Linked DNA regions of Oryzias latipes. The protein of the gene in region 1 interacts with the protein of each later gene in a biochemical or structural test. Links are inferred from orthologs where the notes say so. Each region holds a gene or a part of one and is shown on either strand. Other genes may lie near its edges.

What was found. The genes of interacting proteins can lie anywhere in the genome.
Region 2: of the proteins of ADP-ribosylation factor 1 (region 1) and arf-GAP with GTPase, ANK repeat and PH domain-containing protein 1, one has a biochemical effect on the other in vitro, tested with the Homo sapiens proteins (2 studies listed by BioGRID, with this or other methods). The link is inferred for Oryzias latipes from reciprocal best matches to the Homo sapiens genes ARF1 and AGAP1.

The regions. Positions count from the first base shown.
Region 1 is NC_019877.2:22,748,054-22,752,362, forward strand, and holds the start of ADP-ribosylation factor 1, read right to left. Parts: upstream 2,862-4,309; 5' UTR 2,730-2,861; intron 1,554-2,729; 5' UTR 1,544-1,553; coding exon 1,396-1,543; intron 398-1,395; coding exon 287-397; intron 1-286. UniProt on the Homo sapiens protein: Small GTPase involved in protein trafficking between different compartments. Modulates vesicle budding and uncoating within the Golgi complex. In its GTP-bound form, triggers the recruitment of coatomer proteins to the Golgi membrane.
Region 2 is NC_019860.2:10,865,938-10,869,587, forward strand, and holds part of arf-GAP with GTPase, ANK repeat and PH domain-containing protein 1, read left to right. Parts: intron 1-1,250; coding exon 1,251-1,378; intron 1,379-3,401; coding exon 3,402-3,557; intron 3,558-3,650. UniProt on the Homo sapiens protein: GTPase-activating protein for ARF1 and, to a lesser extent, ARF5. Directly and specifically regulates the adapter protein 3 (AP-3)-dependent trafficking of proteins in the endosomal-lysosomal system.

The sequences.
Region 1 (4,309 bases):
AAAGAAAAGCCCTGACAGAGAAATATAGAGAGGAAAACCAGACGTGGAGGTTTGTCTCTGAAACCTAACTGTTACACCAACTGTTGATTTTCTAGGCAGGAAAAACTCAAATAGCCCTAATAGTTGCTGACGACTTTAATGTCAGGAAAAAGGAGGAGTCAAACAATAAACCCTTAGAAGAATTGAACAAAAGTATGAGTCATCGGTCCAGCAGCGTTCAGATCATCTTCAGCGCAGAAGTTAGGCCCCCTATAGGCAGTAATGCGCTCCAACAGTCGGCCCTTACCTTGAGTGTTCTGGAAGTAGTGGCGCCACAGCGGCCTGATTTTGTCCTGACCGCCCACATCCCACACCGTGAAGCTGATGTTCTTGTATTCTACCGTTTCAACGTTAAAACCTGCACAAATGAGGACAGGCTTAGTGGCAGACACGGATCTGAAAGGCTCCCCAGGTTACATTAAACAGGTCATAAATTATCATTTTAATTGGATTTCAAGTTTACCACAGAGTATCTCCATTGTTAAAAGCATTAATTGTCAATATCTTTGTTCATTACAAATTCATAAACTAAATCATTCTAAATGTCATTTTTTTCAATCTTTTAAAAATGTTCTCAGATGATAAGGCTGATAAAATACATTTTTAACTAAACGTTTAAATCAACACTAAAGCTACCAAAACGTGCAGAACAGAGATATTACAAATAAGCAGAGAAAAGCCCACGTGGAGCTGAAACGTCTCCGTTTTCATACGTTTATCTGAACTCATCCAGCTGAATGTGATCTGGGCCGATCCACAGATCGAGCTGAAAGAATTCACCAGGAAGCAACAATAACAGCCGTGAATAACTAGGATCAAAGGCAGCAAAATGCATCTCCTTGTAAAAATCTTTGGCCACAATATGTTTAGATTTTGTGGAAACGAGCTGAAAGTCAGCTCTGATGGCTGACGGTGTAAATGTTTTCTATCCAGACAGCCGGAGTATTGACTTAGACACACAATGGTTAACTCAAAAACCATGAAATACAGGTAAACAGTGATGAGTTCAGTGTCAGCTTGGAGAAACTAATTGAGAAACCAGAAGATTTGTGTTATTCAAGCACAGAATACTGCAGCAAAATGCATTGTATGCAGAAACAGAGAGGTTATGAAATTGCAATGTTTTTAGCAATCCACTGCTGTTACTGCTGTTTCTGTTGAGATCAGAACAGACTTCGTTCAACGCAATTTTTAAAAAAAATCCCGACAACAATTTTGGCGTAACCTATATATCATTAATATAACATTTTGCTTTTTGGGTTTAACAATATCTCTCTCACTAAGACAGTTTCAGGATGAACAGATCCATGCAGCGTTTTGACATGAAAAACGATCCATTGCAAACAGAAATCCTACCGATGGTGGGGATGGTGGTGACGATCTCTCCAAGCTTTAGTTTATAAAGGATAGTCGTTTTTCCAGCAGCATCCAGCCCAACCATTAGAATTCTCATCTCTTTTTTGCCAAAAAGGCCCTTGAATAAGCTTGCAAATACATTCCCCATAATGACAGAGCTGGAAAACAACAAAAGTAAATAACTACAACATTTTAGTACTCGTACAGAAATAGTAGAAGAAAACCAACACATAAATGAACATCATAACAGACAATAATAGTAGGATTGAAGCAACGCTGTCGTGTTTTAGACTCAATAACAGAAATTTAGAGATATAGAGTTAAATGTTCACTTTGGCTAAACTGTTTTACATCTGCACCATCAAAATAACTATTCAGACATATAGTTTGACCTAGAGTCCTAGTCATCTGTAGGTAATCAATGACAGTACCAGAGCATCGATGACCCTAAATATAATTTGGGAGGCATTCACGGTTTAAGGTAAATCTCCAGACTGATGTGCATAACTGCTTTCCTTAACGTGGGAGTTGTGAAGGTCTACATAAACACATCAGATGTGTTTTCATTGGGATTTTTAGTGAAAATGTCATTTATCAAAGTTTTTCGGCTATTAGGATCGAAACTCAATGTGGCCAGCATCAACAAACTAAATATTTCCCCTAACTTCTATCTCGACTTGACGTGCGAGCTCCAGGACCATAAATTGCGTGTTTTAATGGAGTCCGCAGCAAACTGGACGGACGAATACTTCGGACAGCCGGCTAACCGCACAGCTAACAGATGACTGGGGCCTTGTCAGTCAGTAAACGACTGAAGAATAGTAAAAAATAAAATAGCAGTATTTTCCTTTTACGGGCAGCAGTCATATATCAAATGTAACAGTTTGTTTTAAAGGAAATCAGAAAGTTTGTGCTGTCACCACCCATTACCAACTGATGGTTAGCTTGACTATAGGGCGGATGCTTCGACTTGAGCCTAGCCTGCTGCTAACGGCTAAAGACTGGGTTTGGTCCGTGCGAAATCATTCTGTCAACAACGAACAGGCGGTACGTATCCACGAAGTTAAAGGTTGACGTATAAATAAGCCCGTTGGTGTAATATGTGTCGTGTAAAGTGAGTATCTTTTACTCGTTTTTTTCTTGTCAGTCGATCCAGAAACCACCGTAGCTAGCTAGCTAGCCGCCGTTAGCTCGATGCCGCGTCACATTACATAGAGAACAGCATGACGTCACGCAAAACCACACCAAAATTTGATCATTTAGGTCGAGTTTGAACTCACTCTCATAAAACGGCATACAGAGTAAAAAAAGTAATTGGTTCTGGTGGTTTTTACCTTTAAAAAGACAGCTTGCTGGTCTTTAGGTTATCTTTCACTGTCACTCCAAAATGGCGTCTTGCGCAACCAGGGAGACACCGGCGTCGGGCACGGCCCACTATCAAGCCTCAGCCAATCACAGCGCGTACGGTGTACCAAATGTCCCCGCCCCCGCCCAGCTCTCCGTCCAATCAGCAGAAAGATCGTCTGTGCGTCGACGATGCACAAAATGTCGAGGAAGTTAACTCAAGTTCTTCAAGTTCCACCGCCGTCAACGTGACAGGAGGACGGTTCAGCCGCTGACAGCTGAGGGAGGGATCGAACATGCGGCACTCTCCAGCAGAGTGCACGAGAAAGGCGTACAATGATCATGACAAATAAAGGATATTGTCCTCTCTTCCTTGTTGTTAGGTTGAACAACAGGCGGGTTTTCATTGTGTTCAGTGTCTTTCTTGGGTTGAATTTCCTTTGGTGTCTTTTCTACTTGGATCCATTGTTCTTTGTTTGACTCTTTTTGTCTTTTTTATACATGTCAGTGTTGGTTTGCTTTTATTTATTAACGTTTTTTTTGTTTTTTCCTACATTCTCAGGTTCACATTAGGTTCCAGAGACACCAAAAACCTAAACCATCATTTATATGAGCTCACTTGTGTGGCAATGTACAGACACTTAATAAAATACATGGAAAAGTGTTTTCATTTTTTTATAATTCCATTTTAGAACTAAGCTTTCATAGAGTATAGATTCAGGGTCCAGGTTTAATTGTTAAGTTGTTGTTTTTTTTACATAAATTGAGGTTCCAGCTCATAAAACCCTAGAAAACAGGATTTCGCAAAATCCTGATCGAGTGGAGAAATCTGCTCAAATTCTGAATATTTCTTACAGTTTCACCATCATCTACTGAACTCAAAACACCAGTACAGGTTCCCCAAATGTCTTTAAATGGGTTCAGTTTGGTTCAATGTGGGAAAGACTTGACAACTAGAAGACCACCATAAATATCCCACCAGAGGTGGTCCGCCATGAGCAAAAGTAACAGCTGGTTATTTGGCTTGCTGAAGGTGAGTGATGAGTATTTTTTTTCTTTTAGGTATCACTGCTTCTGCCCCTCACTCTCTGCTGGATCGTTGCACTGCAAGCATTCAGTCAACTCACCTGCTCTGTCCTCTGCCTGCTCGCCTACCTGTCTGCTCGCCACTCAGCCGCGCTTCCAGCTAACCTGCCCAGCCATTCTGCTCTCAGCTCCATGCTGCTATGGCCGTTTTCTGCTCCTGTTTCCCTGCATCACCGTTCTGCCCCAAGCCTCATAAGCCCCTGCACCTCTGCAATTTTGGAACCATTTCCCAGAGACCCTCCTGGAGACCAGTTTTTTGGGTTGCAAAATCAAGAGTGCTTGTGACTGAGCCCTAGACTCCTGAGTTCCACCACGCTCCAACGAGCATCCTTCTCTTTTCTGACATCTGTGTCTGACTTCCATCCATTTGCTGTACAGAGGACTTAACTCCGCCCCCTCTCTGCTACCTGCGGCTCACACTCCTCATCCCAGTGAGCCTGCATTTGCTCTGACCACTCAAGATCACTTCCCATCACTAACCCTC
Region 2 (3,650 bases), on another chromosome or scaffold:
TCATAAATCTGATCAGAGGGGAGACGTTTCCATTAGATGGAATGGCAGCAGAACTGAGATTGATGGGTAAAGTTAAATTGCATTAACCATGTAGTTTAAATATTTAGCATGGCCTTATCATAACTGCTCTTAACACTAAAATACAGCCCGCCGTGTTCAGCGGCGACAGCTTCTGTGTTGCACTGATTCTTGTCACAGGAGTTCATTACATCAAACACTTCATCAGCTGATTGAGGTTGGCACTCTTCCACAAACGAAGCATCGCCGGAGCGGTATTGATCGCTCGCCTTTGCCGTTTATCGCCTGTTTTTGTTCTGAAGGGCGCCGCAGAGGCTCCTCTTAACACGTCCGCGGCGGCCCCTCTCTTCTCACTGCCCTTGGCCCGGCCTCGCGTCGCCCCGGAGGCAAATGTTTACGACCGGCTCCTCGTTACCGAAGTTGGGGGGTCTTTAACGAGGCCAATTAAAACAATGGCTTCATCTGGGAGAATATGAAACGGGCCGGTGTTTATTGGAACAGAGATAATGGAGTCACTAAAGTCTTAACTCTCTCCTGACTCCTTCAACATCAAACTCTTGAGAAATGTCTGGGCTTTGATTTCAACCTGCTCTAACCAGGAAAACGCCCAAAAAACCACAAGAAAAAATGACCGTACCAAGCTAAAAACACTTTTTGTTGCCACTTGAATTATTTCAAAAGAATTGATATATTTTAGTGCAAATATGATTGTTAAACTAATCAGTGTCAAGATAATTAAAAATAAAGTTATATAATTTTCCTTTTATCAGCTTAAAATTTAGGTTTCAAAGCCTAATGGTCCATCGACGTACATCTACCTCCTTTTATAAGTCAGGGTTAAGATTGATGGAATTTGTCCTAATTGTCTGTTAAAGTATTGATTGGACTCCCCTGTGTCTAATATGAAGGAGGAAAACAAAACCATCATCAGATGTCAGACTGATCGCCGCTCATCCTTGGGACTTTGAATGGTTTCCCCCAAATTTGAGCAAATGTGTCTTTGATTTTGGCTCTCTGATAAAACTCTGTCCTAATTTTAAACCAGTTCACCCAGAACACTTTACAGCTTTGTCCTCGTTGTAAAATCACTGCGGTGGAAAAAAAAAAGGTTAAAGCTCAATAAAAAGGAGGCAGGAGCATGGTCTGGGGTTTTTATTTGGATGGCTACAGCCTGGTGGTGGCACTGTTTGGGAAAAAAGTCACGTATTTTTTTATTTTTGCTTGTGTTGCAGTTGCTCAGAAGATTGTGGCTACTAGGAAGAAGCAGCAGCTATCCATCGGGCCATGCAAGTCGCTCCCCAACTCCCCCAGCCACTCCTCTGTGTGTACGACTCAAGTGTCAGCAGTGCAACTGAGCCAGGTCAGAGGTCACACTCTCACTATGAAAAAAAAAAATTTTTTTGTTCTTTATTTTTTTTTTAAATGACAAATCAAAACTAGTTGATGTCTTATCCATTTCAAAATGGGGGCTTTTCTGTTGGTTTTATCTCCATGGTTACCATTTTGTTTTTGTGGCCACCTGGGGGTGAAAAACACAATCTATGGTTATGTCCAAATTCCCACCTTTACCCCCCAACTACTGAAAAAAACCATATAGTGTGGCACTATGTAGTGCCCTGAATTCTGACACCATGCTCACTACTTTTTTTTTGTTTTGTTTTTTTTAACGGCAGATATGACGTCATTGATTCCATGAAGTTCAAATCTAAATGATATGAGCGTTTTGCGACGATATTTTATGAATCAACCGTCTTCTGAAGATAAAAATGTTTATGGTTTACCAAAAAAAAAGCATTTTAAAACATTTTTTGGGCAAAAATTGTTCCAACGCAATGCATTGTGGTCTGTATTCGCCGATCTAGTGAGCATCGATGCACAGAGACTTCTGGGAAATTTCAAGGGCACTGGATTTTGGATTTGTAGATTCAGACAGCTCTACAAAATGGCAAACGCACTATACAGTGCACAATATATAGTGCACTATATGTAGTATACGTAGTGCACTATATAGTGCACTGATATAGTACATAGTACTATATAGTACATAGTAGTATATAGTACATAGTTCCTTATGTAGTAAGTAGGGAAGTTTTTTTGAGGAATCAGCAGAAGTAAATTGTTGGTTTTTTTTGTTAACCACGCCCACATTCCTAATGTGATCATATTGTATGTCATATTGTTTGTCTAGGTTGAGAGAAGGAGTCACGTATGAAATTTTCACAATATTCCAAAAAAACATGCGACACAACTTTTGTAAACTCTCCATGCTGACGCCATTGAAACCAACATTTTCTCCCCAAGTAGCTTCCCAATAATGATATAGAGTCGGGAGGCGATAGATCGAAATTCCCAAATTTGTCAAAGATGCTAAAGGTAGATTTTTATTCTTTTCAAAGATGGTAGCTTCTTTCGGAGGTCAAAGGTCAACGAAACTTCAGCTGGGGTTTTAGATTTAACCTGGCAGCTTGTGTGTGAAACTTTGCTCAAACAAGTTTGTTTTTTTACACCATATTGTGGAAAAATGTGAAAACGTTCGCACTTTGCCAAAACATAGTCGCCAAGCTATAGGTCGTCTTACTATGGTCATCCCATAATAACGTCCAAGCTACATATCTCTGTTTTGGTTTGGTTTGGGGATTTTTGAGCCCCATAAAAGATTTTTTCCTTTTTTGTAGCGCAGGGGGGTGGGTTTACTATCCCCAAAAATTCAATATCTGAGTGTCTGAATTTCTAAGATCAAATGTGCAGTGAGAAAGAAGAATAGCTGAAAGAAACATTCTGGTCCTTGCAGTTCTGCGTACCATAAAAAACATCTAAAAATGTTTTTGAAAACAAGCTAAACAAACGTATATTTAGGTTACTTTTTACCTTTGGAATCGATGGGTAGTCCCTATTGAATTCCGGTCAGAACAGTCCAGTTTGCCACAGAAAATGTAATTGAGTTAACACCAATGGAACCTCTGGTGAGCATGTCATTAAAAGAATATGACACCACACTTGAGCTGCTATGCAGAGTGGAGTACAAAAGACAATCATGTCAGACATCATGAAGGTGCTAAACATGATAAACACCCTCAAATCAGGGTTGAAGGCCTCCCAACTGGTATGTTTGCAGCTTTAGTGTGTGACAGAAAAGAGCAGTGATGCTATCATCACGCTCCCATCTTCATCCTTCAGTCCTCCATCGATTCCTCATTAAAGAGCCATCGCTCAGCCTCACCGTCCCCTGGGAGCCATGTTTATCTTCCCTCTACATCCTCTGCAGAGTCGGGCCTTCTGCTTGTGTGTTGACTCCCTAACAGGGGAGCGTTTTCCCTCCAAACAGCCCTAATCGTGACGCTCATCTGAAGCTCTCTGTTTTCTCTGCCCTTTTCTCCTCGCAGACGAGTAACGGCGGCGGCAGTTTGAGTGACTACTCATCGTCGGTGCCGTCCACGCCCAGCACCAGCCAGAAGGAGCTGCGTATCGACGTCCCGCCCGCCACCAACACTCCCACGCCGGTCCGGAAGCAGTCCAAACGCCGCTCCAACCTCTTCACGGTACATTGACAACACTTGACCGTCTGCCTAAAGGCTTATTCTCAACTCCCCTTATGGGCTGCAAGCCGCCGAAAAAGGGGAAAATCTGATTGG